Alligator mississippiensis: one gene and its partner. The protein of the gene in region 1 purifies or fractionates together with the protein of each later gene. This does not show direct contact. Links are inferred from orthologs where the notes say so. Each region holds a gene or a part of one and is shown on either strand. Other genes may lie near its edges.

Region 1 (3,746 bases):
AGGAACACTGAAAAACAAACACCAGCATCATTATAAACCAGCCTGACTTTTGTCATTTTCACCCAGCAAAATGCCCTCTCTCTCAAAACTCTTTAAAGCGCGCATGGCAGTTTCTACAGGAGTTTTATCACAGACACACAAGACCTGTTCCTGCTACCATTAATTGATTTGTTCCCCTTTCCCCTCGTACATCTTTTGTTTTGCATCATTGCTTTCTTTCCCCTGCTTCTTCACACCCCTCCTCTTCCACTTCGGATTCTCTCTCCCCGACTCAGTATCCCACCGAGATTACTCAGCCGGGACATCAACAGAGCGAAACTAACTCAGGGGTGGGCAAAATATGGCCTGCCAGGCCATTCTATCCGGCCTGTGGTGACCCTAAAAAATTTAGAAAATTAGTATTTATCTGCCCCGGGCTGCCTGTCATGCGGCCCTCCATGGCTTGCCAAAACTCAGTAAGTGTCCCTCCACCCAAAATAATTGCCCACCCCTGAACTAACTCCACACCCTGCCCTCTGGACAATTACAGGCCAGGTCCACAAGGAGAATGTCAGTATTTAACCCTCCCCTTTATGCCCTCACTCATGTCCAGAACAACATCCTCAGAAGGGCCCGTCTAATATTACAGACACCTTAACGCCCTAGAAATGCTACAAGTGCCCATTTCCACCAGCAAAGTCTCCCAGGCATGCAAACTGAGGCTGGCGAGCACGCAGCCACCTGTCAGTACTTTCCAGACTTCCTCAGGTCACGGAAACCATTGGTGCTCCTCCTGCTGCTGCCCAACTCCTACCCCCTCCCTAAGGACCCATGCTCCAATGATGCCCCCATGTCTGGGGAGGACACAACAACCTACAGGAGACACCAGGGCATGCACCCCCTGGCTTCCCCTGCACCCAATGCACGGTGGGGGGGGGCACCTTTTTGGCAGGCGAGTCACAGGCCGCGCCCTGACTGATCCCCTGCTCCCGCCCTGTCTGCCGCTCCGCTTGCTGCTCCCTGCCGCGTGGGGCAGAGGGAGGCCACGTGCAGTGCCAGCCCTGCAATAGGTGCCCCAGGCACGACCCCGGCCCGGTGACGGGTTGCGGGACACCGCGGCCCTCCCACAGCGGCACCCCCTCAGCCCCACTCCCCGCGCTGTATGGGTGGGGAGCCGCCGCAAAGGCTGCTGGGAGCCCCCCCCTCGCGCTTCGAACCCGCCGCGCGGGGCGGGGCGGGGCGGGGCTTCGGCTTCTCTCTGCAGGCGGCAATCGCAGCGGGACCAGCAGGGCGGCAGGTCAGTACCACAGCGCGGCGCCGGGAGGGGCGGGGAAAGGGAGGGGGGATTTCACCCCGTGGTGCTGCTCTTGCGTCCCGTGCGAGGACCCGTCCTATCGCCGCGGGGGGAGGGAGGTGGCGGCGCGGCCCCGCCGGACAAAGCCTGCGCCCGAGGCGGGGCACCAGGCGGCGGAGCCTGCGCGGACTTGGCGGCGCCGCCCCAGCCCCGGCTTTAGTGCTCAGCCTCGTCCTCCGCCCCCCGCTACTCCGCGTGGTCGAGACCCGGCTACCCAGCGCGGCGGTCCCCGCTGGCCCGGGCACTTGGCAGTAGGGAGTGGTGCCCGTTCCTCCCCCGCCTCCTGAAGTGCCGCTGTAGAAACACCGTTTGAGTGAGGTTGTACCCCTCACTGGTGCAGGAACTAGGCAAGAGGCAAGGATTTATGTGGGTGGAGTCTTGTACTGGACCCCGATTTGGTTGGGAGAGACTTAAACAAGCTTTTGAACGCAGTTGGAGCTGGGTGTTGCTGTTGAAGTGTCCCTGCCCGGCTCCCTGCAACTGCTGCTTTGACTAGTCCTGTGCCCTTTCACTTCCACATGTCCCCTCTTCCCCTGGTGGCCACTGTATTCAGCAGCTCAACTAGGTCTGTCCCGACTGAGCGGTTACATCGTGGTTGGGGCACTAGCAGGAGTCTGGACACCAGGTTCCAGAACAGCTCTTCTGCTCATGCGGCTCGTGCAGCCAGCCAAAAAATGCCAAAGATTTGGTGACATGCTCAGGCAGCAGCACTTTTCAAGCCAGGGAAGGACCCAGCTGTCCCAAAGAGCTTCAAACTTGTCTCTCTGCTATACCACACATACAGATTATACGGCTAGCTGATGCTGAACTGGCTTGTCCCATACGTAAATAAATGCCTGATCCCCAAACAGGGCAGCCTTCGCCCTGGAAAATCAACACCAAGCCAGCTGCTTATTCTGACTCAAGATACTGAGGATGGTTTTGAAAGAGGCCAAATCACCAGAGCTGTGTTTATCAACCTAACAGCCATCTACGATATAGTTAACCACCAGTTCCTCCACAAGACCCCGGAAATGACAAAAGATCTGTGCCTTACAGAACTGATGTGAACCCAGCTCAAAAACACTTTTTTGCCAAACTGGATGGGAAGTGAAGTAGATGGAAGTGACATTAATGGCCTCCCCCAAAAGAAGCATACTTGCACCACTGTTGTGGAACTTGACCAGCCAATCAATTTGGAAACAAGGTTTCATCTGTTCAGACAACCTGCCCATAACAAGCCCAAACACTAACTTTGACAATGTTGAAAAATCCCTTACGGAAGCACTAGTTGGCCTAACTTCATACTACACTGAAAACCAGTTATATATCAACCCAACAAAAACACAACCATGTATGTGCCTTCTGTCTGAAAAACAGTGAGGCCAACCACCGACCGGCTCAGCATTGGATGTCCGGGACCCCACTATCCCACTGTCCAAATCCAGTTTACCTTGGAGTCACCCTCGATCAAACCCTCTCATACATGAAGATGAAAGCAAAGGTGAGTACTCAGAATAACATTCTGCATAACTTCACCAGCTTGAAATGGGGAGTGAGCCCCTCAACCACTGGAAGCACTGCTCTGGCTTCCAGCTTCTCTGCTGAGTATGCATGCCCTGTACTAAGCACCTTGACCCTATTCTGAACGATAGCTGCTATCACAGGATGTCTGAAGCCTACCAGGATAAACAGGGCTAGCTGGCAATGCTCTGCCTGACATCAGAAGAATAGTGGCCTGCAGGATAGAATCATCGAGACAAACTGAAGATGTGAGATGCCCACTGTATGACCATCCCGCAATACCCAAACATCTGAAATCACGCAGGAGCTTCCTCACCAGCACCCATCCTCTCAATGCCACGCTCAAGGAGACAAGACTACTACACATGTGGAACGAAAGGCTGAAGAAAGTACCTGACAGCGGAATAAGGGCATTCCAGCAGCCGAGTCCTTATCACCAGGGGCTGATGAAACATGGCAAAGGTGGCAGAGTCTCAACCGCCTACGTACCAGAGTTAGGTGCTGCAAGATACTAATGAAGAAGGGGCTATACCATCGGTTCAACCATCTCTGACTGCGACAGAGAGCTTCAGATTATGCAACTCCTGCTGTAATGTCTGCTGTTTGCAGGCACGTGTACAATGAAAGACCTCATAAAGTACAATAAATGAGCATGAGCATGTGTAACAAAATGGTCAAAGGTGGTGTAGAGACATGAGAGGAAGATGACAACCAAGCAATTGGTCCAATAAAAGATACCACCCACATACATCCTTGACTCTGACATGGAAATAGTAAGTTTCTGCAGCCCCCATGGTTTCCATCAAGGTCCCTGTCCAAGGTATTGTCAACCTGAACCTGTTAGGAAAGAGGAGTGTGCTGGCATTTATGTCAGGTTGCAACCCTTGACCTATGCCTTGTGGTTTCTTTG
Region 2 (3,746 bases), on another chromosome or scaffold:
TGGCCCAAAGGACACAGGGGTCCGTTCATGCAGCAGGTTTATCCCCCCCTCTCAGCCAGACTGGACAGAGGTCTCCCTGTGTCTGGCTTGTCGCCGCTCTCCCATGACAAGGCTTTAGTGCTGGGAGGGGGCTGGGTGCTGGGCGGACTCGTGGGGACGCTGAGCTGGTCTCGTTGCCCCCAGGAAAGCGAGAGGCAACAGCTGCCAAGGCTCACACCCTGCCCGCTCCCCTCCCGCCTCCCCTCACCCTTACCCAGGGCTTGCCGCTGCCTGCAGAGAGCCGTGTGGGTTGAGGGCCAAGGCAGAAGTGTGGAAGTGCTCAGGGGACATTTGGGTGCTGACCCCTTTGTCATCCTGATTTGCAAACAGACACGGAACGGGCTGCAGGTGACAAGACCCGTGCAAGCTGCAGAGGGGCAGGACCCCCCGATTGGCAGGGTAGGACCAGGCCTGCTGCAGCTGGGGCAAAAGGAGGGACAGACCGGCACTGGCTGGGGGCATCAGGGCTCACAGGTGTAGCTGGAGAGGGACAAGTCCCGCGGTGAGCCAGCCTCCACCCATGGAGCAGCAGAGCTGCCTTGCATGTGTCCCTGGGACCCAAATTGCAAAGCCCAACAGGAAAGACAACAGCCCCTTGTCGCTTCTGCGTGAGCCAAAGATAGGCGCTGCACTGATCCTCCTGGCATCTGAAGCAGCTGGAGCCGTGGCCGGGCTGGCGAGGGCTCTGCTGATAAACAAGGCGTGGGGGGGCCAGGAGGCTGGCCAGCCGGCCTCGGCTTCTTGCTGACCCGTGAGACCAAGTTCTCTTTTTTCCCCCCGCCTCGGCTCCTTAATCCAAATCCCCCAGACAATGGCCCGGCCAGTGCTGAATGGCGCAGACGGGAGCAGGATGATAAAACTCCTGACATCATTGTTCCAGAGAGTTCAGCAGGAGGCGCGCCCAGGACAGCTGGGGCTATAAAAAGCCCTCGTGCACCGGTCCCAGCACAACTCAGCTGCAGTCGCACTCCCGCTTCCCCCAGCCAAGGCAAATGGATGTCTCCATTCACCACCCCTTGCTGCGCAGACCCTTCATGTCCTTGTTCACCCCCAGCCGCATCTTCGACCAGAGCTTCGGGGAGCACCTCCTCGAGTCTGAGCTGTTCCCCACCTCCTCCAGCATCAGCCCCTTCCTGCTGAGGTCCCCCTTCCTGCGGATGCCCAGCTGGCTGGAGACAGGGTTCTCCGAGGTAACGCTTCTCTCTTGCCGCGCTTTGTGGTCTGCTGCTGGCTCTGCACCTGGGGGAGCCTGGGACGGCGGGACTCATTGCAGAGTCAGGAGCTGTTTCCAGGGAGTGATTTGGGGGGCAATGGGGAGAGGGCAAGCTGGAGGCACCAGGGCTGATCCTCCACATCAGGCAGGAGCAGCTGTGCAGACCTCTGGGTTCCAGCTGCGGTGCGCGGGGCAGGGAACAGTCATCTTATAAGATGCTAATTAATGGTAATTAAGCATTCCATTCCCTTGTGGATGTTGGCAATTGGTACTGTAGCCGTGGGTTCAAGGGGCAAGCAGCAGGGAATGTGGGAGTTGCGGTCCCTTCTCCTAGCTGCTAGACCAAACTTGCTCCCAGAGGAAGGAAGGACCCCAGAAGACCTAGAGACCCTTTCGGACATGCAGCAGGTGGGAGGGTAGCGGTGCTGTGTTTATGCGTGGACCCCTCATCCACATGGATTTTGTAGACTAAAGGCCAAAGGAAAACCCCTTGTGCAACTCTTTCCCTGGTCCTGGACCATCACCTTCCTGCCACCCCTGGAACGGGGGCAGGAACCAGTCTGCCACTGCCCCTGCCCTGCCCTTGACTGGGCTGACTGCTCCTGGAAGGACACCGAGGAAGGTCAACTCTCCCCGGCCTCTCGGAAAGTCAGCAGGACCCCGGAGCCCACAGCAGGGGCCTGCAACATGTCTCAGAGGCCGGGAGGCTGCTCCTAATGCCCCGCTGGTGCCAAGCAATCACACGGATCCTGGGGGGGACTCAAAGTGAGGTCCTCCTGTTGGGCATCACATCCCCCGGTGCAAAAATGCACCTGCCATCCAGCCTCAAGTCACTGCTAGGGCAGATGTTCTCAGAAGATCTGCGCCAGGGAGCAGGGATGGGCTTTGGGGCTGGACGAGTCGGAGCGAGAGGCTTATTGAGCAGGTGCCTGCCCTGCTCCAAGGATGTGCCAGCCGTTGAGTCCCCCTCCCTGCCCCTTTGCTTCCTACACAGTCTGGTTCACACGGGGAGGCAGTGGGCAGCTTCCTTGCTCCGTGCCGCCCTGCCTGGCACAGCTGAGGCTCGTGCCCCTTCCTTCAGAGCCCTGTAAGGGGCAGGTGAGACCGTCCCCAGCGACCAACACCCCCTGCTCACAGGGCTGGCACCAGGGAGGTGTGGGGCTCCTACCAGGGGGATAGCGTGCAGTGGGAAGGGGGCAGCTGATGCCAGCTCCTTTGTGGCAGCGTCCTGATGCCAAAGGGCCACAGGACAATGAGGAAGCAGCTCCTTGGTTCCCACCGGTCGCTGGCAGCTTCCTCCTCCCAGCTCAGCTCAGAAGAGCATGGGACTCCTGCCAAAGCCTCTCCAGCGAGACATCAGTGCCAGTTATGCAGAGACGCTGGCTGCGTTATTTGTAACCTAGGGATGGGGAAGTTCCTTCTCCAACCTGCCGCTCAGCCCAGGGCTCCTCTTCCCCCTTGATCTCGTCTTCCCAGACAATTCCCCCTTGCTCTCCAGCATCCCCGAGCCCCCGGATGATGCTGCCAAGAGCGGCATATGCCTCCTGTCAGCTGGGTTGAAATTCCTCTCAATGTGCCCGTCCATGAAAAGGTCCCATTTATCGCGCCAGGTCCTGCCTTGTGGAGTGGGAGGTAAAAGCAGCTGCTGGGATCACAGGACCTTGGCTGCGACACCCTGGAAAGCTGGTAAACAGCAGGCCTGATTCTTCTCAGACCGGGGAGGCAGGGGTGGCTCTGCTGGCGTTAGGGGGTAACGGAGACAGCAGAGCCCTGTGTGGCTTTGGCAGCAACTCCAGGGTGCGGAGGAGGAAAGATAGTGGGATCATTTGAAAAGCTGGTGACAAACCTACCTAGCATGATCTGAAGGGGACGATGCCCTCTTGCAATACCACATGAAACAGCACATTGCTGGCTTAAAAGCTGCTGCTTCTTTCTGGGGCTGGTCCATGGAAAAAGGGAGTGCCCAGTGCATCGGGCCCCTGGTTGCAGGTAACCCCTGGGATTTCTCCAAGTGAAAGAAGGTGGAGGTGTGACGCAGCGGCTCTGATGGAGCTGGACCACCTTCTGCATGTCCCAAAACTCAGACACGGAGGGACCAGGTTTTCAAGGGGGGTCTTGTTCAAACACTGACCGTTACAAAGAGAAATCCAAAGCCTGAGAAAGCCACAGGACTCCAAAGGGAGCAAATAGCTTGGCTCAGAGTGAGCCTAGAGCCTGAACACGTGCCGATGGAGCAGGAGGCACATCCACCTGCTGGGAAAGGGAAAACAAAAATGAAGCAGGCAGGAGGGAGGAGGACGGCCGGGCTCGGTGGTTCGGTTCCAAGAGTGAAGCCGAGCAAGCATCCCTCCAGCCCCTGCGAAGCTGAGACAAAACAGCATTCCCTACCATGGGTAAAGTGGGAGATGCAAGCCCAGGTGACAGGGCTGCCTGTAGAGCAACTGGTTTCATGCCAGGAGCGATGCCACGGGGCGAATTTACCGGTGATCTGGAA

The links.
Region 2: the proteins of CASP3 (region 1) and CRYAB purify together in Homo sapiens (affinity purification with western blotting; 3 studies listed by BioGRID). This does not show direct contact. The link is inferred for Alligator mississippiensis from reciprocal best matches to the Homo sapiens genes CASP3 and CRYAB.

What each region holds. Positions count from the first base shown.
Region 1 is NC_081825.1:71,032,081-71,035,826, forward strand, and holds the start of CASP3 (caspase-3), read left to right. Parts: upstream 1-926; 5' UTR 927-1,276; intron 1,277-1,331; exon of another isoform or gene 1,332-1,437; intron 1,438-1,639; exon of another isoform or gene 1,640-2,816; intron 2,817-3,746. UniProt on the Homo sapiens protein: Thiol protease that acts as a major effector caspase involved in the execution phase of apoptosis. Following cleavage and activation by initiator caspases (CASP8, CASP9 and/or CASP10), mediates execution of apoptosis by catalyzing cleavage of many proteins.
Region 2 is NC_081839.1:31,678,454-31,682,199, reverse strand, and holds the start of CRYAB (alpha-crystallin B chain), read left to right. Parts: upstream 1-807; 5' UTR 808-1,031; coding exon 1,032-1,229; intron 1,230-3,746. UniProt on the Homo sapiens protein: May contribute to the transparency and refractive index of the lens. Has chaperone-like activity, preventing aggregation of various proteins under a wide range of stress conditions.